Rattus norvegicus: one gene and its partners. The protein of the gene in region 1 interacts with the protein of each later gene in a pairwise test. Links are inferred from orthologs where the notes say so. Each region holds a gene or a part of one and is shown in the gene's direction. Other genes may lie near its edges.

The links.
Region 2: the proteins of Gad2 (region 1) and Arl6ip1 interact in binary tests that used the Homo sapiens proteins (3 or more experiments, as listed by UniProt). The two-hybrid records come from large-scale screens. The link is inferred for Rattus norvegicus from reciprocal best matches to the Homo sapiens genes GAD2 and ARL6IP1.
Region 3: the proteins of Gad2 (region 1) and Ldaf1 interact in binary tests that used the Homo sapiens proteins (3 or more experiments, as listed by UniProt). The two-hybrid records come from large-scale screens. The link is inferred for Rattus norvegicus from reciprocal best matches to the Homo sapiens genes GAD2 and LDAF1.

What each region holds. Positions count from the first base shown.
Region 1 is NC_086035.1:89,668,338-89,676,144, forward strand, and holds the start of Gad2 (glutamate decarboxylase 2), read left to right. Parts: upstream 1-3,380; 5' UTR 3,381-3,453; coding exon 3,454-3,529; intron 3,530-4,215; coding exon 4,216-4,275; intron 4,276-4,466; coding exon 4,467-4,616; intron 4,617-5,590; coding exon 5,591-5,824; intron 5,825-7,807. UniProt on the Homo sapiens protein: Catalyzes the production of GABA.
Region 2 is NC_086019.1:181,870,072-181,877,878, reverse strand, and holds the start of Arl6ip1 (ADP-ribosylation factor-like protein 6-interacting protein 1), read left to right. Parts: upstream 1-3,646; 5' UTR 3,647-3,701; coding exon 3,702-3,737; intron 3,738-6,235; coding exon 6,236-6,369; intron 6,370-6,815; coding exon 6,816-6,935; intron 6,936-7,807. UniProt on the Homo sapiens protein: Positively regulates SLC1A1/EAAC1-mediated glutamate transport by increasing its affinity for glutamate in a PKC activity-dependent manner.
Region 3 is NC_086019.1:183,923,708-183,931,414, forward strand, and holds part of Ldaf1 (lipid droplet assembly factor 1), read left to right. Parts: intron 1-4,680; coding exon 4,681-4,849; coding exon of another isoform or gene 4,850-4,867; intron 4,868-5,329; coding exon 5,330-5,468; intron 5,469-7,707. UniProt on the Homo sapiens protein: Plays an important role in the formation of lipid droplets (LD) which are storage organelles at the center of lipid and energy homeostasis. In association with BSCL2/seipin, defines the sites of LD formation in the endoplasmic reticulum.

The sequences.
Region 1 (7,807 bases):
GCTTGGCTCCTGCTACTTGGAGAGGGCGCTGGTAACTTTTGCTTCTAGGCGTGGTCACAGTCTCTGCAGATCAGTCTCTAAAGCTCTGTGTAGCCAGTGCATTTTACAAGTAGGATCCTGATAAGGAGTGGCCTCGTGTTGTGACAGGGCCAAGTCCCCAAATTCAAGTGCCCCCCTCCCTGCTCCCACTCTAAATAGCTCTGCTCCAGTTTGGGGCCACACAGACAGGGCAGAAGACTCACCCTAACTATGCCAACCCCTTGGAGCGGCAGAACTTGTACCTGGCACCAGAAAGCTGAACAGCAGAGCTCACAGACCGATGATACGGGGGAGACAAACGTTCAGGTGTCCAGGCTGGTAGGCTTCCTGTGCCCCACTGTCCCACCTGGAGGAGGTGCGTTAGGGTGGAGCTGGGCTCTGCTGCTTGCCAGAGCTACCCTTTAATCCTGGTTCTAGTGGACCCTGCATCACATAGTCCTCGCAAGAAGGTCTGCAAAGGTATATTCAGTTGCTGAGTAGAGACACAACAGGCACATCTCCCGCAGACCCAGCATCCCAGGTTAAGTGAGGCTGGAAAAGGAAGATTGCAACATCTAGTTGTTTCCAAATCCTTTCTTTCTGTCTAGCCTTTTTCAGTCCCTCCACATTTAAGCAACAAAAGAGAAAACTTGTACCAAATATCCTTCTTTGATTCCCCCCCACCCCCCACTCCCCCACCCCCCTCTACGGAGATTTCTGGGTGGCGTGAACAAGGAATAGGTAATCCCACAAAACCTTGCAGTGGGCTATTCTGGAGATTTTGGCGTGGGTCTCCTACTTTAGAGGGGAAGCTATCAGTCTTGGTTCCCAGTCTGCTGCCTCCTTTGTGAACTAATGACTGTAATTATTACCTCCCAGAGCTCTTTTGTTATCAACAACCAGGAGCCTGGGGGGGGATGGGCCCTTTGGGGAAAGGGGAAAAAAATTTACAAAGCAAATTGCTGTCTAGGAAGGGTTGGAATTTTTTTAAAAAGACAAACCCAATTTCAGCCTGTATCCGAAGTGGGGAGTGGCAATGTTTTTTAATGTAAATATCATTAGATTTTTTAAAAAATTCTCAGAGCTGTGGATTCAATTGCATTTCAACAGTACTGCTTTAAGTCACTATTTTTGACGAAGTTAAATTCAGATGTTGAGAGTCTGTCCTCTTGTTTTCATCCATTTCTCCCTTGTGAGGTGTGTGTGTGTGTGTGTGTGTGTGTGTGTGTGTGTGTGTTTATGAACCATTTTATTTCTGACCACTCATCCGTGGTAAAAAGCTTCGACCCCAGCCAGCTGGCTTGAAGAGAGAATTATTTGCAGGATTTGGTATGGATTTAAACAAAGACCCAGGCTCTCCAAGTCCTGTTGGCAAGGCTGGGTGGAGAGAGCGCCCAGCATTCCAGGAGATGTTGCCTCTGCCAACCGAAGTCACCAGGCCTGGAGTACCCTAAAGATTGACCAAGTTAAGGCGTAGGGTCAAGATGACTACCTTCCCTCAACATGCTCCTGCTTTTGGCTTAGAGACGTGCCTGGGTAGCACCTCAACAGGGTCAATCACACTCCCCACGCCTCCCTAGTCCCGCGACTTCTGTGGGCATCCACTATCTAGATCCTCCCTGGCCGTCAGGATTCTGGCAACTGGGAAGAAGTAAAGCTTTGGGGAGAGAATGCACTTGGAGGCCCAAGACTAGGGCTTCTGTACAGTTACCCGAGGTCTCAGGATCCCTAACAAAATAAGTGATCCTGGTCGCCAAAACCAAGTAGGGTCCCTGCTCAGGCAAGAGCTTTGGTGCCTTTTTTGAAAACTCAAAAGAAGGAACGAAGAAATGCTGTGGAGACCAGGGAGACTGCAGCCCCTTGCTCAGGGAGCGCAGGAAAGGAGATCCGGATGGCTGAAAGCAGCACCTTCCCGCTAGTCTTTCTTGAGCTATGTGTAAATCGGAAACCAAGGGTCTAGTATAAGCAAGCCAAAACAAAGCGGAGTCTGAGGGCCCCACATCTTCCTTAAGGCGCTGTCGCGCAGTTTATGGGCCTTTAGGGAAGAGAAAACAGAAAGGATTGTTTCATTCCTTTATTAGAAAACACAAACGAAACTACTTCTCTCTGGGCCGGGAAATTGCCAATCTTGCGTTCCTAGGCACCTCCTGACCTTAAGGACTCTTCTGGGGGAGGGGAGAGGTCAGTGGTTTCAGTACTCCTGAAACTACCCGAGTGCCTTTTCTCCTGGAATTTGAAAGTCTGGTTTGCTTACTTCGAAAACCCCTGAATCCCGCCTAAGCACAGGTGCATAAGCAGCAAGCCAAGGTCACCAAGTAACCGGATCCCCTCCCCCATCAACCATAAATCCTGTGGTCTGTGTCAGCTCTCCGCTGCTCCCTTTCAAGAAGTTTCTGTTCGTTTTATTTATTTAATTTTTCCCAGCCTGAGGTCCTCAGTGATAGACTCCAGCGTGGATTTTAATTGCTTCAATCAGCAGTCTTTCTCCTCAGCCGTCAGTCAAAACCTGGACGGTGGGTCTGGGGACTCAGCGCTTGACTGCACAGGAAGTGGACGACCCCCCCAGGCTGGCTCAGCTCAGTAGGCAGACGTTTTTAGGCTCGGCTAAGGAAGGAGATGAAATGAGTCCGTCTGCGTGGAAGCGATACACCTTCCTCCCTCTTTGGTTCCTTCCCCGTGCTCTGGAGCTCTGCCTGATTGCGGCCAGGTGGCCTGGGCTCTTGAGGTCACAGCGACCTCCGCACGGGTTTGGAGGAAGGAGGGTGCGAAAACCGCTTTTGCTCGGCCGGCCTCAGCCAGAGACAGCTCTCAAACAATGAGCCAATCGCTGCACATGTGAAGTCGCTTTCAGTCACCCCCCAAGATTGTCAAGGTCTCCCTGGTGCCCAGGGTCACCGAGGCCAGCGTGCAGCGGGCTGCGGTAGCACCCTGGACAGCGCGTCCCGGCCGAAGAGGACCTGGAGCGCCTGTGGCTGGGTCAGCGCTGCGCAGGCACGCCTCCCACCCCCGCATCTGACTCGCGCTCGAACGCACAGCCTCGCACCTCACGACCCAGCTCCTCCATTTCCCTTTCGTCACTCTCTGGTCTCCCCACCAAACTCCTCTCCCTAAAAATTCTCTTGGGTCCTTTCCACTTTCCAATCTCCAGACTGCGAGGATCAGGCTACTCCCCCATTTAACCACCGCGCAGAGCACAACGGCTCGTCCCTACGCCCTGACTCGAACACTCACACGTACGAGCACTGGCATACGCAGACAGCACGTTTCCTGTCCCTGTGTGACACCCACCCTCGTCGCGCGGCTGCTCCAGCCCTCGCGCGGTGCCCTCCTCCCGCCACACACACTCGCACACGCACGCAGGCGCGTGCAGGGTCGAGCCGAAGGCAGCTTGCCCGCAGCCACTCGGAGGCGACCAGCGCCAGACTAGCAGAACCCATGGCATCTCCGGGCTCTGGCTTTTGGTCCTTCGGATCTGAAGATGGCTCTGGGGATCCTGAGAACCCGGGAACAGGTAGGAAAACCAGAACCTGCAGCGGGAGAGCTTTGTGGATGGATTAGGGTTTGCCCGGCTACGCAGATGATCAAAGCTTTGACATCTGCAACAGGAAACTTATTCAGGCGCTTCGCCTGGCTCCCTGGGTTAAGTCCTTAACTGTGCGAGAACCCCAACCCCTCCCCTCAGCCCTTTGTCCCCCTGGGAAAAAGCCCAGGGTTGTCTCGGCCCCTTCCCCTAAACGTAGGTTCCTAAAAGACTGCTGCATCTGCTGTCATCGGAAACCTGAGCTTTGCTTAGGGACGTCTAGACCCCGGGCAGGGAAAGGCAATCTAGGAACCGGGTAGAGTTTAGGGTCTGAAAGGCAAGCGCGGCGAGAAACAAACATCCTCGGGTCTAGGAAAGCCAGCCCCGGCGCGAACAGGGAGGGTCTGGAAACCCGAGGACCTGGCGAAGAAGTGCAAAGGGCCGCGGTGTGGACTGCTTTCTTTCTGGGACACGACAAGATGAGGGCTGGTCCCGGCGCCAGGTTCCCTCGGGCTCCCCCACCTGCTGAAGGCAGAGTCGCTAGCCCGTGGCCGCTCTCGAGGTTGGCGCCGGGTCCCCAGACTCCGGACTCGGAGACCTGGTTCACTTAGAACGAAATTTCTCACTCCCCCGTCTGTTCTCTTTCCGATTCGCTTTTCCCTGCCTGGCGATTGCAGCGAGAGCCTGGTGCCAGGTGGCCCAAAAGTTCACGGGCGGCATCGGAAACAAGCTATGCGGTGAGTGGTGGCGCGGTTGGAGAGAAGGGCGGACAAGGTCGGGGGCGCACGCTGGCGGGATCAATGCCGCCTGCTCCGCTCGGTGCCTGCAGCCTATGTCGGCCCAGTCCCTCGGTTGCGGGTGGGCGGGGATGTGGGAGCCGGGACGGTCAGGGGCTGACCTAGGTCCGGCGCTCCGTGTCCTTGTCCAGCTCTGCTCTACGGAGACTCTGAGAAGCCAGCAGAGAGCGGCGGGAGCGTGACCTCGCGGGCCGCCACTCGGAAGGTCGCCTGCACCTGTGACCAAAAACCCTGCAGCTGCCCCAAAGGAGATGTCAATTATGCACTTCTCCACGCAACAGGTAAAGAGGTCGGCTGGCCAGAACCGCGCTCCACCCCGCGGACGTCTGTCCCCGCCAAGTGGGTGACAGAATGGGGTGGGGGTGGGGACTCTGAGAATCTTTCCCGGAATTAGAAGGATGTGGGGGTCTGTGTGCTGGAGTTGTTCCAAGAACGCGGCCCTGGCCTTCCCCAACCCGAATCGGAGACCACAGTGCCCTGCACTGGAGCAGCCTCAGATAGAGTCGGAGGTGGCAGTGGCAGCGGTGTGCGCCACAGTAGGCTTCTTGGTGCTGCCCCAGCCTCTGGGTAGCACAGATTTCCAAAATGCCCTGGGAAGTACTTCGGAATTGCAGGGAGTTTTAGGTGTTCCTTTGGATCCAAAGTAGTTTGTAACCGTTATTTCAAAGAGGAACGATTCTGTTTACCTGAGCCCTAGGCGCTAAATTTTACCTACGCATTCATGACTCTCTGGCTTCCAAACACTGCGTGAACTCGCGCACACACCCACACCTCCTCCACACACACACCCCAACTTTGGAAAAATCTGCCCTTCAAAAAAGCCAGATATCATAACTTGGCATAAATCACTTTTCCTGGTTTGCTGGAAGGTATTTCTCAAACATTTCGGAAGTGGAGTATTGACAAACCATTAAGATGATTTACTCAAATAGACCATTTGGGACAAACGCTTGTGAAACGGACAAGCTGAAACACTCATCTTGGGGAAAAAATTAATCAAGCAACGTAATTTGTTACAAATAAAATGCAAAACTTAATTCCGGGAGGTTTTATTTGCTTGTGTTTCTGGATGCTTTGGTTTTGTTTGAAACAGGGTCTTCTCTCCCTAACCAGATCTGGTCTCCGATTTCCAGAGATCCCCCCTTACTTTAGCGTCCTGAGCACATCAAATCAGTTCAAAGCAAAATTGCCCGTTCACTAATTGCCAGGGTCTTTGTAGTGACACCTAAAATTCCGTTCCCATTCCGTTCTTCAGACCTGCTGCCAGCCTGTGAAGGAGAAAGGCCCACTCTCGCATTTCTGCAAGATGTAATGAACATTTTGCTTCAGTACGTGGTGAAAAGTTTTGATAGATCAACTAAAGTGATTGATTTCCATTACCCCAATGAGCTTCTTCAAGAGTATAATTGGGAATTGGCAGACCAACCGCAAAATCTGGAGGAAATTTTGACGCACTGCCAAACAACTCTAAAATATGCGATTAAAACAGGTATTGTGCAACCAGTAATAATAAAGCTATTTTTTCCTTTTGCAATTTTATTTTTTCCCTATAAAACCGTTTTTCTTATGGTGGGTCGTGTTATTTCCAAAATTGCAAAGTTACATTGGCTTAAAAATAGTCATTATTGGAGTGATTCAGAGGCACCTTTCTAACAATAACCGAGCCGTAGTCGGGGTATAAATTATGAGATTGGCAAGGAGATTAATTGGAGGTTGTAGGAGCAACCATTTGTCAGCAGGGGCCAGTACCCAAAATGAAGAAAGAAAGGGAATGTTGAAAGGGATGCTGTAAAGACTAAAGATGCGATCCAGTACACCTGAACTGCATGTGCTGTTGTCAATTTTCTCCACCTGGAACTAGTCAAGAACCCCTGCTAACCAGCCTGTGCAATCTTCAGGCTCGAGGGAGAATGCTGTAGCATTGTTTCAAAAGACTTAATTTTAGATTTCAATTCCAGTTTTTCTCCTGGTTTGAAAGAAGTATGGAGGCGCGCGCACGCGCACGCACGACCCGCTCCCCCCCACCCCCCACCAATGCTTAGCAGCCCAGTAGTATTACTCAAGGATTTCTCTCCTTCGCTTATGTGGATAAGAATACCCGAATTGTTTAAGGGTCCATTTAAAGATGTGTGTTAGGGTCTATTAGAGTCTCACAGCCTCCTTTAAAACTGGGTAAAATGATGTTGTAGTCCAGGGGCAACATCATTCGTACCTCCAGAGCTTTCTTCCTCCCAGGTCCTGAGTGCCCTGCTCTTTTTCTCTACATTGTCTCTAATCATCTTGATACATGGTGAAACAAAGTAAAGTGATAAATATGAATACCTTTATGAGGTGGAGGAGGGAAGGCTTATGGACTTACAATGATTTGTAGACGTAAAAAAATGTGCTAACGAATGTGAAATATTAAGTAGGCATGGGTTACCATGCAAACGTCATGCTTTATGCTGCCATTTTTCCGGTAGTTTATTAGTAAAACAAAGGACAAACATTTTAAGAATTTTGCTACAAAAATGGTTTGGCCTTTTTTCCCCTGAGCATTCTTTATATGATTAGAGAAGAAAGATTTGCATAGACGCCTTGGAAAACTGATTTATTGTGTAATTATAATCCACTTTGTAAGACTGTAGACTTGGAAATAGAGTCGAGCCGAAATGAGCTGAACTTGATTTCCAGGGAGTATAGACATCTTTTAAATATCGTCAGTTAGTCCTCCTGAAACACCAACAGAATATACACGCCAAGCATGTGAGATACTCTGCTCCCAGTTTCTTTGCATGTACCCACCAACCGAAGCTTGAGCCATGCTTTTAATCTGTCTCTGCTTGACCCATCCCCCACACCTGACATTTAAATACGCTAATGGCAAAACTTCCTACCATTTGTTTATGCTGCTCACAAATAAAAGAGAACACGTACTTTTTTTTTTTACCTCTTTGTTTTCAAAAGCTGCCAGCTAGTCTTCGAAATGCAATTTAGAATTAAGATAGTGGGAATTGCCAGGCAGTGGGAGTAATAGTTCTATATATCGATGCTCCACCATCGGGGAATAAATGGGTTCGTTAAATTATCAGATTGTTGCTATAAGTTTTGTAAAACTGTTAGTCAAATGTTGCTGTGGTGCATCTCATTTAAAGTGAAGATTAAAATCTATTAGATTAAGATGAATATCTCAATATTACTGATGCCACGTTTTGTCTTCTGCCCTTATATCCTTAAATAGCACTTAAAAAAAAAAAAAGCATGCATAGGCAGCCTTTGTCTTCAACGGAAAAGCTTGTAGCTTCTTATACTGTTAGTGTCCTGTTTATCAGCTGACACTACCTAGTCCATCAAAGCAGTTGCACTCCCTGTCCCCATCCAGTATTCTTATGATCCTTTGAAGATCATTTTATAAAATGTCACCTGGCCCCTCTTAATTTAATTTCCGTCTGGCCTGGAGCTTTATAAAGGATTGAAGGGCAGTGGAGATTTT
Region 2 (7,807 bases), on another chromosome or scaffold:
CTTTTAAGATTCAGCGGGTACAGAACAACCTCTTCTATTTCAGAGTACCCTTGAGGATTAAAATGTATTGTGATTAGTTGTCTTTAATTAGCTAGCTGGAGTCAGTTGATATCTCTGCCAAGCTGAAGCCTAGTACCTACGAAGCTGTTTCTTTACCAAAGTGTCTTGTTTCTGTTTATGGTCATGAGCTGATCATGCAGTTTGCTAGATGATTTGACACTGGTAGTGAGTTCTTTTGAGGTGTGAGATTTCTACTTGAAACTGATAGATCTTGATCTACTTTATTAGATCACTGATTCAGAGCTCAAATCCCAGGTTCAGGGTAAGAATTTGTAACACAAAGGAAAAACTCCCTTCACTTTGCCCTTAACACTTGCCTCTGTTATATCTAAGCTTCATTAGATTTCTTAATATCATCCAGTGTTTGATGTTACCTGCATTGTTTTTTCGTTTTAATTGTGGTTGTTCTGATGTGTGAAATTTAAGGAAAGAGCCATTTAATAAATGCCAAGCAGGGCAATGCAGCCAAATATTAGAGTTGATGTGCAGTCTTAGGTCCTTTTTAATCTGGGGTATTATAGGCAGTACTTTAAATCAGAGTCTTCCTGGCCTATTTCCCTCCACCTTTTTGTAGTTACTCGGGGGCTTACTTGTGCAGTACTAAAATCAAAGGAGCTGGTTCTTCTTTTCCCCCAATCTTTTCTTAGTAATGAACACACCTACAACTAGCCTGCTACTCCTATTCATACACAGCAGATGTCAGTGCTGTGCTGCTAATATTAGCTGGATTTCCTGCAGTGCAGGGATGGAACCTTGCACATGCTAGGCAAGCTTTCTAACCCTGAGCTACATACATCCTAGCTCTTAGAACTAGCACCCTGAAGCATCTTTGTTTCATGTGTCAAGATGCGGACAAAGACCAACATTGTTTTTATAAAAATGCTAGTAATTTAGAACCCTGCCCCACCCCCTACCCCCCAATCAAGGAGGCAAAAATTAATGCACTAGTCACTGAAGACTCCATCTTCAGTTACCTGGATAGGATAGATTCCTCCTAACAAGTACTGGTGAGCATCACAGTGCTTTGCAAAGATTTAAGAGGAGGCAGTTACTGTACTTCGCCTGCTTTTGGGCCTAGATAACATCACTGTTTATTTACAAAAAGCAAACAGCTTGGGTTTGAAAAGGCAGCCATGTAGAGAAAACTTGAGAATTGGGGCTCACTGGGAAGTTCTAGTGCTAATGTTAAAACCTCAAATCAGCTGGATATTTGAAGATGGTAAAGAATTGGATATAGTCCTGAAACATTTTATTTTTCTAAAACAGGCTGATTAGCAGTGGTGGTTTTCCCTTTTTCTGACAGTGTGTTTTAGCTCCTGTTTCAGATTTCTGTGTTATTTTTTCCAATTTACAAGTCCCTTAAGTTTCCACCTGGAATGTCAGGTGGCAATGACATCGTGTTCTTTTTTTAAACCCTTATTTAAGAACAAGTTGAGTTGAACTGAATCTTCCTTGTCTTAGTAACATTGTACAAACAGTGGCTTTTTTTTAAGTTGTAATGCCTTCTGATGGATATAATTTTGTGCTTGTATTTAAGATTAAAAGTTGAGTAAATAACACCAGCTTCCTGAAAATGTCCATAATGCATCTTTTGAAAAACAAAACACCTGCCTACTTTACATTAACATGGTAAAGATTGTATGAAATACCTGTTTTTCAAAAAATAAAGGTTCAAGATAACAGTATCTAGGCTCTGAATTTATTGAAGTGGATCCCAGAAAGTTTGTTTTGGAATACAATTTTGTGACTTTCCCCCCCTATTATCTCTCCAAATTAAAAAGCTCTCAAAAGAACTGGAGAGATGGCTCAGAGGTTAAGAGCAGTTCCAGAGAGAGGTCCTGAGCTCAATTTACAGTAACCACATGGTGGCTCACAAACATCTGTAAAGGGATCCGGTGTGTCTGAAGACAGTGACAACGTGTTCACATACATAAAATAAATCTTAAAGATCTCAAAAAAAAAAAAATCCTTTTTGAACAGCCATTCAAAGGTAAGGATGGGTGAATCTCTGGTTTCTAGGCCAACCTGGTCTGTAAAACAAGTACCAGGACTGTCAGGACTACACAGAGAAACCCTGTCTCGAATAGCAAAAGAATGTATGAAGCTCAGTTTTAGCAATATTTAAAACAAAACTTTGACCCTTATTCTGAGTGAAAGAAATGAAAAGAATATTTGGGAAGAGTTCATTTGCTATGCCAAAGTTCTGAGGAAGATTAGTGTAACGGGCTTCATCATCTGACACATTTCAAAGGTCACTCCTCTTTGTGTTAAAAAAAAAAAAAAGATGTTTATAACCCTTGGGCCAATTTGCAAGGTCAGTGAGAGCTGGATTTGGACCTGGGGCTGTCCTAAATTTAATCTTAAATTTTACTTTGGGAACACCGATTAAACTTGAAGCTTTCTGAAGCAGTAGCCAAGTTACCAAGGTAGAAGTGACAGATTTTAAAAACCCTCTTTTTACTCTTCTGTCCTCTTAGAAAGTGACTTCCTGGTACCAGGTTAGCTTGGTTCAGCTGTTTTGGTCCTTTTGTTCTCAGTACTGAGGAGGCGAAGGAGGGAACTCCAGGCCTTACAATTTTCGATATGATTTATCAGCCGAGTCATAACCCCCCACCCCCACCCCCACCCCCCATAACACACACACACTCTGAGCTGCTTTGCTGGTCAAAACGTCTGACAAATTGCCCCTTTGATAGAACCACCGTGGGCCAGAAAGGACCAGGCTTATTTGGGCTCACTATGTGGTCTCTCAGGTTTCTTTTAAACTTCCAGGGACTTTAAAGAACCTGGTAATTTGCTTATTTATTTTATTTTTTAAAGAATATAAATCTAAGATAGTTGAAGTCCGTATTTAGCATGGCTTCCCCATAACACCCATTAATCAGTTCGAAGCGTTCCATCATCTGAATTGTTCCTCTACCCATCCATCCCTCCGAATGAAGCGCTCCCCTAGCTACCTGAAGTACTCAAATCAATCAAGTGAAGCGCCCCGCAAATGATTCCCCCAAAGTCTGGCTGCAAATGACGCCCTTTAAGAGTTCGTGCATCTTTCGTGTTCTCAAAACGCCTGTTAACACTGTTGGCGAAAAGGCAGCAGCATTAGGCACAGGTGCTCACATGGGGACGCTTGTCTTCCAGTCAGCAGGTGCCACGGGAACCTAAAAGCGTCCCTTGCCCATCTAGCCTCCGCATAGGATGCCACTGCGCATCCTCTACTCAGCTGAGCAGACAGGCCCCTCGGCGCCTTTGAGATACAGCAGAAGACAGGTAGGGAGTAGAGAGGCCACAAACGTTCAGGAAGATTTGGGTGAGAGACTAGCGACGGCGGTTGAACCGCTTCCTTCCGCTCCGCCTCCCGCGGGCCACACCCCTGCACTCTGATTGGCCAGAGTCTTTCAGCTCCGCGCAGCTTCACTCTCCTTTGACCTGGATTTCAAGTCATGCGCTAGCTGCCGGTTGGCCTGGCTTCCCAGAAGCCGGAGTGCGGTCTATCCAATGAGGAGCGAGTTTCGCGAGGGCTGTCGGGAAAGGCAGCGAGCCTATATAAGCGGCCTGCGGGGCGTTCCCCCCCGCGCTCGGGTTACCGTGCTGGTGTTGGGTTTGGTGTGTTCGCGCTCGTTGATAACCGTGCGTCTGGAACGATGGCCGAGGGGGATAACCGCAGCAGCAACCTGCTGGTGAGTCGCAGTGGTCAGTTTGTCTCCAGAGCTCCCGGATGGACCTCCTGGTCTTGGTGAACTACAGGGGCAGCCAGGCCTGATCCTGGGACTCCCTGCCCATCTCCACGGTGGTGGTCCTTGCTGCCGATCCCCAACGTCCCCCGGGGAGCGTGCACTACAAGGCTTGGACCGTGAGTGTGGAAATGTGAGAAGGGGTCTGTGGCAAGAAGGAACCTGGGTAGCAGGTTGGGGCACTCGGCCGCAAGGGGCCTTGTCTAGCGTTCCCGGCTCAGGCCGGAGAGACCTACCTGTTTTGCCCTCTGATCTTAATTTCATGTTTCGTAGATTATTATTATTTTTTCTTTTTTTCGGAGCTGGGGACCGAACCCAGGGCCTTGTGCTTGCTAGGCAAGCGCTCTACCACTGAGCTAAATCCCCAGCCCCTCGTAGATTATTTTTAATCATGATTCTTTTTTCCCTAAAACTTGGCGCAAGGATGGAGGGTCAAAGGGCTGCTACAGAGAATTAGTTTATCGCTGACACAGAATTTGTTGGAGTTGCTTGGTTGGAGTTCACCGCAGGAAGCTGAAAACGGGTTATGCGGAAAGGACAGTGGGAGATCCTGGCACTTGTCTGGGAACTGACGAGGGACTCACCGGACTGGTTGCAACTTTAAAATGATTAGCACAGATTTTTTTTTCTTTTTTTTCGGAGCTGGGGACCGAACCCAGGGCCTTGCGCTTGCTAGGCAAGCGCTCTACCACTGAGCTAAATCCCCAACCCCGATTAGCACAGATTTGAAGGAGCTGCAGGAGATGGTATTAAAGGAGGGCATGTTTGCTTCATTACAAGTTTTTGTTTTTGTTTTTTTAAGGCTAGGTTTTCGTGTATCCTGACCTATCGAGGTTAGCCTTGTATTTGTCATCCTCCTGTCTCCACCTCTCAAGCGCTGGGATTACAGTTGAGCATCACCAGGCCCTGTTTTAAATTTTAAACTGCACGTAGGCAAGAACGAAAGATCATTCCCCTCCCCCCGCCCTGTAATGTCATTCCCCAGAAAAGGCAGACCATATCAGAAATGAAAATAGCAATCAGATTTTAATCAGCTTTTTCACTTTTTCTGAGAGCCTAAGTGCCGACAAGTGACTTTGGGACAGTTTTGATTGTACAAGATTTTCAGTTTGTATTCGTGTTTAAATGTGAATGCCCTGTATCCTTGAATTCCCTCTACACAGACACACACACACACACACACACACACACACACACACACACAGTACATAAGCAAACAATCCAATAGAGATGCCTGCCCTGCATCCTAAATCTTACCCTACACAATACACATACACCAACAAACAATCCAGTAAGAGGATTAATTGCTGTACAGGGAAACTCCCACAGGAGAGGGCCTCTATTTCCATCAATGCAGTATCATTTTAAGGAGAGCAAGGCCATTAGTCTTATGTTTCCTGGATTTAAATATATTAGCCTCTTTGTGTCTCAGTCTCCTCATCTTAAAGTAGAGGTTGTAAGAATACCTTTTCCAGTTTGAGGAGCATTAATTGAAGTTTAACATGTAAAAGGTTAAGAATTTCTAGTGTGGGGTGACGTCAGAAGTTCTTAGTCACATATTTCATCTTTACTAAAATTAGCCTCAACCGTACTATCATTTGCATACTACTTTGTGAAAAGTTGATGTATCGGTTGAGCTTTGTGTGTTTGTGGTTCCTGGATGTTGAATCCAGGGTTCTGCACAGACTGAGCAACTGCTGGGTTCTAATTTCCTTCCTTTACTAAAGTCCCTGATAGGTCTAGGCCACAATAGCCCATGGTGAAGGTACGCTTTTGACTGGTTGTCGCATATGCAGAGAAACTTTGAGATTTAATTGAAATTCCATCATTAACAAGAAGAAGCCATTATGGAGAACTTTTAAGTGCTGAGGTCACATAATTTGGTTAGAATAGTTTTCTTTAATTCCACAGTGACTGCCAATACCAGAGTTATTCTATTATACTATTAATAGTATAAATACTATTATGTATTTAGTATTAAGGGAAAAGTTCTCCTGATGGATTTAGAAGGGCTTAAATCAATAAATTGACCAATCAACAGATCAATGCCAACCACCTGAAATGAGCAAACAGAATATTCAATTTAGTAATATTCTGAGCACTGCCTCATGGCTCTGTGGGTACATTGGGGATATTGGTTAACCATATTAAGCTCACCTTCATGAATATTGAAATACATTGTGAAACCTTGGCAGTATGATGATACATCATGGACATGTGTCCCAGTGCTAAAGTGACCATTAAAGCCTATGCTTTCTCCTGCCCACGGATTTTCATGTTTGTGTACCAAAAGTGCAGTTTTTCATGACTCACCTTGTTTAAGATAACAGTTTTGTTAAAGGCATTTTATGTGTATTTGATGACTTAGAAAGATTTTACTCACTTGAGCCACCAAAGTGTTGAGATTGGGGAAGTGACACTGTAACACTGTTGGTCATGCGTAGGCCGTGGAGACTGCAAGTCTTGAAGAGCAGCTGCAAGGCTGGGGAGAAGTGATGCTGATGGCTGACAAAGTCCTTCGGTGGGAAAGAGCCTGGTTTCCACCTGCCATTATGGGTGTGGTCTCCCTGCTGTTCCTGTAAGTGAGAGATTCTATTGCTAAATGCTCCGAGGGTTCATAGCCTATGCTTAGAGAAGCTTTTGTACTACATAATCCAAGAGGAATGCCTTTATTTCAAGCAGCTTGCCCACTTTCTAGAATTTGTAGTCCTTATGTAAAATTGTAAGTTAATACTGTTGAATAAATTCCAGACACTCAAACTCTTATTTCAACACTCTTGCTTTATATTATTTTCTACTAAATATTGAGGTCTCCAGAGTTTTTGACTATCGTTGTTTACATTAAGCACTTTTTTAACTGTGACAACATCATGCCGTGGTACCTCGAGAAAACCCTTTGTGAGGAAATTAGAAAGGAAACAGCACCATCTCTGAGAAGCTGAGGGTGAAGAGTGAACCTCTTTGACTAGGAATAATGACCACTGTGGTTCTCTAACCTTGGTTAATTTTCTTTGTTTTTAATAGGATTATCTATTATCTCGATCCATCTGTGCTGTCCGGTGTTTCCTGTTTTGTCATGTTTTTGTGCCTGGCTGACTACCTTGTTCCCATTCTAGCACCAAGGATTTTTGGCTCTAATAAATGGTAGGTGGCTCTGCATGATTAGTGTGCTGTGCTTAAAGAAGACGATTGTCTAGCCATCAGATATCTTCTAGGAGTTAGAGTCATTGCTCTTAAGTGAAGAATTTCATACCTAATTTCAAATGTATATCAAGAACTTTTAGTGCACTATCTAGTTCACTTTGGTCAAAAATTTGCTTTTGATTGTCTATTTAGTTTTATTTCTATACCTTAAGTAAGGATATTTTTTAAAGGTGATATTTAACTAAGAATTCCAGAACTCTTTTTTTTTTTTTTTTAACTACATAATGTTTGTTTGAGGGGTAGGGGTACATGCACCATAACATGCATGTGGGGATCAGAGGGCAACTTTCCAGAATTTGTTTTTTACCATGTGTGGGTCTTGGGATGGAACTCAAGTCAGAAGGTTTTGCAGCGTATACCTTTGCCTACTAACCCCCTCAGTGGACCTTGAACTCAACTTGTTTAAAAGTGTCTCTTTGATGTGTGTGAGTCTTTGCTTGTGTGTATACTTGAGGACAGTTTCATGTCAAGCAAGGTCAGTGGCCCATTCTCTTGTTAAATGTGTTACATTGTATGGTCACCAACTTTCCCCAAACACAACAGTATTAGGTCATTATGGCAACTTAAGAGAAGGTGGAAGGACACCCCAGGTGTTTGTTCTTGCCTTCACTGGTGCACCCAGCACTTTTAATCCCAGCACTTGGGAGACAGAGGCAGAGAGGTCTGAGTTTAAGGCCAGCCTGGTACGGTATGGGCTACACAGAGAAGAAACTCTGATAAAATCCTACTTGTAGAGGTTATTAGACTCTTAAGCTTGATCTTTTGAGCTGTGAGGACTGGTACACACCTCTAATCCCAGTACTCTGGATGAC
Region 3 (7,707 bases), on another chromosome or scaffold:
AACCAGTTACAAGGCCGAGGCAGGTTTATTTTTTCACACTCTGCTTTTATACCATTTTAAGTACATGCAAAATAATGAGATCAGTTCTAGGTCAAGAAACAGACAAGGCAATAAACACGAATAGTCAGGGAGCAAACAAGGCAGTGAACAAAGTCCCATAAACAACGTTTCTATGGGGCTTATCAGGATGACAGAGACAAAAGGAACGCCACACACGCCTTGGCTGGACCCACTAGCCCAAATGTAAATATTCTTAATCTGAGCCTATTTCCTGATCCTAGCCCAAAATCAGATTCTTGCCTGACTTACTTCCATGTCCTGGCCCAACGTCAAATTCCTGCCAAGTTTCTACAAGTGTCCCCAAAGCTCTCCACACTTAGCCCTATATGGATATGTGTAGGCTCTCTGACTAAAAACCCCATGCTTCCTTTGTTTGAAGAAAGTCTTGGTTTGGAAATGGCTCCTGTGCTCTCCTCACCTGCTGCAGGTAGCAAGCCTTCTTGGCCATGCTTACTTTGGCTTTGCACTTGGCAGACAGAAGCCTATTGGGACAGGCTTACCTGGAATGTGTGTTTAATGGGTATAAGTGTTAGATGTGGATGAACCATCTCTTTCCCCTACATTGTGACCTGACCATGACCATTCTCTCTCAGAGAAAGCAATTCCTGGGTTAAACAGTTTTGTTGTAGTTACTTTTCTATTGCTATGATAAGACACCATGATCAAAGCAACTTACTGAGGAAAGAGTTTTACTTGGGTTCATGAATCCAGAGGGCTGAAAGACCTTTACATCCGCATCCAGAGAAGTCTTTGTTTAGTGGTTTAGTCCCTGGGAGCTCTGCTTGGTTGGTATTGTTGTTCTTATGGGGTTGCAAGCCCCTTCAGCTCCTTCAATCCTTTCTCTAATTCCTCCAACAGGGAACCCATTCTCAGTTCAATGGTTTGGTGCTAGCAAACCATCTGTCACGCTCTGGCTGAGCCTCTCAGGAGACAGTTATATCAGGCTCCTGTCAGCATGCATTTCTTGGCTTCATTAATATTATCTAGTTTTGGTGGCTATATATAAATGGGCTGTATACCTAGGTGGGGCAGTCTCTGAATGTCCATTCCTTTAGTCTCTGCTTCAAACTTTGTCTCCTTATCCCTCCTATGAATATTTTTGTTCCCCGTTTCAAGGACTGAAGCATTCATACTTTGGTCGTGCTTCCTCTTGAGCTTCATGTGGCCTATGGATTTTTATCTTGGGTAATTTGAGCTTTTGGGCTAATATCCACTTATCAGTGAATGCATACCATGTATGTTTTTTTGTCATTGGGTTACCTCACTCAGGATGATATTTTCTAGTTCCATTTGCCTATGAATTTCATGAAGTCATTGTTTTTGATGGCTGAGTAGTACTCCATTGTGTAGATGTACCACATTTTCTGTGTCCATTCCTCTGTTGAAGGGCATCTGGGTTCTTTCCAGCTTCTGGCTATTATAAATAAGGCTGCTATGAACATAGTAGAGCATGTGTCCTTGTTGTATGTTAGAGAATCATTTAGGTATATGCCCAGGAGAGGTATACCTGGGTCCTCAGGTAGTGCAATGTCCAATTTCCTGAGGAACCTCCAGATTGATTTCCAGAGTGGTTGTACCAGTTTGCAATCCTACCAACACTGGAGGAGTGTTCCTATTTCTCCACATCCTCACCAGCATCTGTTGTCACCTGAGTTTTTGGTCTTAGTCATTCTGATTGGTGTGAGGTAGAATCTCAGGGATTTTTTGATTTGCATTTTCCTGATGACTAAGGATGTTGGACATTTCTTTAGGTACTTCTCAGCCACTCAATATTCCTCAGCTGAGAAATTCAGGAAATTTTCCCCAGTGCCCGTGTATTGGAGGTTCTTCCCCACTTTTTCTTTTATTAGTTTGAGTGTATCTGGTTTTATGATGAGGTCCTTGATCCACTTGGACTTAAGCTTTGTACCTGGTGATAAGAATGGATTGATCTGCATTCTTCTACATGCTGACCTCCAGTTGAACCAGCACCATTTGTTGAAAGTGCTATCTGTTTTCCACTGGATGGTTCTAGCTTCTTTGTCAAAGATTAAGTGACCATAGGTGTGTGGGTTCATTTCTGAGTCTTCAATTCTATTCCACTGGTCTATCTGTCTGTCTCTGTACCAATACCATACAGTTTTTATCACTATTGCTCTGTAATACTGCTTGAGGTCGGGGATGGTGATTCCCCTAGAAGTTCTTTTATTGTTGAGGATAGTTTTTGCTATCCTGGGTTTTTTGTTATTCCAAATGAATTTGAAAGTTGCTCTTTCTAACTCTATGAAGAATTGAGATTAATTTTGATGGGGATTGCATTGAATCTGTAGATTGCTTTCGGCAAAGTGGCCATTTTTACTATATTAATCCTGCCAATCCATGAGCATGGGAGGTCTTTCAATCTTCTGAGATCTTCTTCAATTTCTTCCTTCAGAGACTTGAAGTTCTTGTCATACAGATCTTTTACTTGCTTGGTTAGAGTAACACCAAGGTATTTTTTATATTATTTGGGACTATTGTAAAAGGTGTCATTTCCCTAATTTCTTTCTCAGCCTGTTTATCCTTTAAGTAGAGAAAGGCTACTGACTTGTTAGAGTTAATTTTATACCCAGCCACTTTGCTGAGGTTGTTTATCAGGCTTAGTAGTTCTTTGGTGGAACTTTTGGGGGAAAAGAGGCATTTTCAATAATAGCCACTGGCCTCCAATGCCCTAAGGAGCAAGACACAGGAAAGACCAACTTTTGATGGAGGAAGCCCACCCTTCCACTTCAGCTTCCACTTTTTTCCGAACAGTTTTTTCTTATTAAAAAAACTTTTCATCATACAATATATTTCATCCTGGTTTCCTCCTCTTCTTCCTCCTTTTCCTCCTCTTCCTCTCCTTCTTCCTCTTTCTCTTCTTCCTCCTCCTCCAAGAGGATGAGCATCCCGCCCACTTTTCAGGACTCAAAGCTTTACTCTCATTACTGGCATTGAGGCTCATTTCTTCAAAGATCCCATCATCCAAAAACCTTCCTCTAGAAAAGTAACCACCAATCCAGCTACAAAGCCTGCAGTGTACAACCGTGATCTGTCTGCATGACACCTAGGTACAATAGTGGTACACATGCTGTCGCAGTGCATGCTGTGGGGTAGGGCACCCACCTACCCCTCTCAGTGTTGGGATGCTGTCCAGCCTGAACCCATGCAGGCCCTGTGCATGCTTCCCCATCTCTGAGTTCATGTGTGCATCAGTCTTGTTGTGCCTGGAAGACACTGTTTCCTTGGAGCCTCCCATCCCCTTTGGCTTTTAGCTCTTCTGCATAGCTCCCTGAACCCTGGGAGGAGGAGCTTAGCTAAGACATCCCATTTAAGACTGAGTATTCCAATATCTCTTATTCTCTGTACATGTTTCAGCTGTGGGTCTTTGCATTAGTTCCAGTCTACTGCAAGAGGATGTTTCTCTCATGGTAGCTGAGTGAAGCACTGATCTGTGAGTGTAGTAGAATGTAGTTAGAAGTAATTTTATTGCTGTGCTCCTTTAGCAGAACAATAGTATTTGGCTTTCCTCAAGGCCCGTGGCCTATCTAGTCTAGGTTCTTGGTCATGAGAGCAGGGTCAAGCATGGGCTCCATCTTGTGGAGTGAGCCTTAATCCAGCCATAGAGTGGTTACTGCCACAGCATGTGTACCACTATTGTACCTAGGTGTCATGCAGACAGATCACGGTTGTACACTGCAGGTTTTGTAGCTGGATTGGTGGTTACTTCTCTAGAGGAAGGTTTTTGAATGATGGGATCTTTGAAGAAATGAGCCTCAATGCCAGTAATGAGGAGAGTAAAGCTTTGAGTCCTGAAAAGTGGGCGGGATGCTCATCCTCTGGGGGTTGACTAAGATCCTAAGATCCGCTGTGTGCTGGGTAGCTTTCTCCACGGAGTTTGCTTTCCCATTCCTTAGTCTTCAAAGTAGGGTAGCCTGTTTATTAAAATAACACATGGTCATCATCATCAGGCTGTGTGGCCCACCAAAACATCCAGTTTGTACCATAAAAGCATTGATGTGGTGGCAAACCACTGCAGGCATTTAGCATCTGGAGTCAAAGATCTTAGCTTTGAATACCCAGGCTTGGAAACTGGGTGACTCCAAATAAAGCATTTAGTCCATTGCATCTTGAATTTCCCCATACACACAAATCATGTGGAAAACGAGATTGGGCACAACAGATGCCAGGTGGGGTCTAATGTTCTACATCTCCATTAAGCACTTGAGTGACGCTAAACATCTAGGACTTAATCCTTTTGTTCCTTGGTAACCTCAGCCATGAAAATCTTACCTGAGGAACAGTAGGCATATTGTATATACATTGCACACATAAGAGGGTGTCTTTCTGAGAGGCCGTGTGTTAGGCAAGAGAGTAGTACCTTTCTTTCACCCACAGGACTTGTGGGTGAACCTCACATTTGCCACCCTTTCCACAGCTGCCTCTTATGCTGCCAGGTGCAAGCTCCTCATGTCTTAGGAGATATTTTGTACTGATGCCCATGGGCCTCTGACTTGCCAGAGGCCTCTGATGCTGGCTGTACTTTCCACAGCTGGGGCCGATCAACTCAACCTGAGATGTGGACCCAGCACTTAACCCTGGCTCCTCATCCATTGCCCACAGGTGGTTGCCTTTATGAAGTCCCCAGTGGGCCGGTTCCTGGACAGGCATCCGTTCCTGGTTCTCACCGTGCTGATGTTTGTTACCATGTCAGCCATCCCTGTTGGTTTCTTCCTGCTCATCGTGGTGCTCACCTCCCTGGGTGCTCTTATGGGGGCCATATTACTGGAAGGTACTCACTCTACCCAAGGTAACTGGGAAGTAACTCAATAAGCTGGACAGTATTTATTGACCATCTGCCATTCTCATCAAAGGCTCCTCTTTCTGGTCCAAGGCAGCTTGTCAGAGGGGTTAAAACACAGGCTCTTGTGTGCATCCCTCACTACCACTGTAATCTGAGACATAATTCATTCCTTCTGAGCCTTAAATTGGCAACCAAATGAGCAGAGAGACCCCCAAGTGTAATATAGTTTATCAACGGTAGGGAACGAGGCAAAGAGAGGTCCAGCTAGTTGATGCCAGAAACTGAGGCCTACTCAGGTGTTGAACTATATAACTATTTTAAATGTCAGAAATGTAAATTTTTTATGGGAAATCTGCTGACTTCAAAATATCTGAGTCAGCTGTCAGTATTTTAAATAACCTGGGCTGGGTCTTCCCATTCTCAGCCTGCTTCAGATGAAGGCACATCTTAACCACACTCTCCTCCTAGGCCTGGTCATCTCTGTTTGTGGTCTCTCACTGCTCTGCATCCTCTGTGGCCTGGGCTTCGTATCGCTTGCCTTGTCAGGGATAACCATGATGTCCTATGTGGTGGTCTCCTGCCTCATGAGCTACTGGTTTTCTCCAAGGTAAATACAAGTCAATGGAACAACTTAATCTTGGTCATTTGGGGGATTCACACAGATAACCAGAGATAATCCCACTTGACATCTAGAAGCCAAATTATAAGAAACAGGTGTCCCTCACAGTTGCCCATAGACATTGCATATCAGCTACACATTTACAGTAGAGTTTCTTACTGCTACCCTCCCTAGTCCATCACCCATAGAGCTGGAGTAGCTTCCTGGGCACTTACTAATTCTTCTAAGAGGGTGTCTATTTAAATTACAAAGGCCAAATGGGGCCCAAGTTTAGGAGGGTTGGAAGGGAGGTAAACAGGGAAGAGGCTCACCTATCAGGTTGCCACGCCTACCTTGCAGGGTGATTTGGAGTTGGGAAGCTGTTGTCCTCACAATTTACCTTGGTCTCCTCAGCTCATCCCAGTGTGATCTTCCCAGCACAATGGCTCATGTTTACTATGTGGAGTTTCTTCCCCCAGCCCTACACACAGTGTGGCGCCTGGGTCTTGACTGGGGGAGCAGTGACCTTTTAGATGTTGGAGGGAAACCTAGTATCGCTGGAGTGCCTGGGAGACAATCTTTTGTGATGTGCTCCTCCCTGCTCCTCAAGGGACTTTCAAAGGCCACTTTTTAAAAAACGTATTCATCATTTTATTCATTTACATTTCAAATGATATTCCCATTCCTGGTTTCCCCTCCACAATGCCCACTCCCCTTTGCCTCTATGCGGGTGCTCCTCCACCCACTCATCCAGTCCCACATCATCACTCTTCACTGGGGCATTAAATCTTCACAGGACCAAGGGCCTCCCTTCCCATGGATGTCAGATAAGGCCATCATATGCAGCTGGAACCATGGGTCCCTCCATGTGTACTCTTTGTTGGTGGTTTAATCCCTGGGAGCTCTGGGGCATCTGGTTAGTTGATATTGTTCTTCCTATGGGGTTGCAATCCCCTTTAGCTCCTTCAGCCCTTCCCCTAGCTCTTCCATTGGGGCTCCCAGGCTCAGGCCAATGGTTGGCTGTATTTGCATCTATATTAGTGAGGTACTGGTAGAACCTCTCAGGGAATAGCCATTCCACACTCCTGTCAGCAAGCCCTTCTTGGCCTCAGCAGTAGTGTCGGGGTTTGGCGTCTGCACTTTTTCGATACTTGATTTTTGTGCTGTGTATAGATTGTAGATTCTTAGGTCCCCATGTACTGAGTCTGCCTTGTCCTTCACCTAGGCTTCCACTAGTTTGATAGCTGTGGCCCAGGCCTGTTGAGTATTTACTTAGTGCCAGAGTCTGTGCTGAGCACTTTCCAGCCACATTCCATGTAACTCTAAGGGTGAGCCTCATTCTGTGATAGATAAAGGAAAGCCAAGTACCAAAGCTGAGAATAGCTGAGAAGGGACTTAAATCTAGATCCATTAGGTATGGTAATATTCTCAACGAAAATATAAAGTGACTGTAAAACATAGGCCAACAATCTCTGCGAAGGGACACCTAGTAAACATTCTAGGCCGTTTAGGTGATGGCTAGCCTCTCAGCTCTGTTACTGCAATGTGAGAGCAGATGTTAAACAAATAAACAGGTCTGGCTGTGTTGCAATAAAACTTTATTCAGACTCCACAAAGACAGATGGCTTGCCAAATTTGCCCCCTCTGGCCTTGATTGACTTGCCAGTCCATGCTCCAAAACCCCACTAGTACCCTGAGCTTCAGTCTTCTTACAGGATAGATAGCCCTTGAGCCTCTTAACAAAAGACTCTCTCACCTCTTGTCTAGGTGTCTTTGATTCCCAGCATTTTCTCTCTCCCCAAAAAAGGTTATCTTACTGTCATTTCCACATGTTGAGTATCTGTGATCTTAAATTGCCCAGGGCTTGTTCTCAGAAGATTGCTTAACTGATAGTCCCTGGAATCATAGCCAGCTTCTCACAAGTTGCTTTGATCCCTATCAGTTTCAAAAGACACACGGTGCCCTATTTGGCATATGGAAGGCAGTGCTTTGCAAAAAAAATCCCTCCCTGCCTGAAACTCTGCTTTAATTAGACTCCAGGCCTAGAAGCACAATGAGGTGCTCAGGTGGAAGCTGCAAGCCAGAGGTTCTGAGTCAGGAGTCCCAGAACCAACATAAAAATGCCAGACACAGTATACACTCCCAACCTCAGCACTGGGGAGACATAGATTGCTGTGCCTTGCTGGCCAGCCAGCCCAGCCTAATCAGAGAGTTCCAGGCCAATGGGAGACCTGTCTCAAGGGAGGTA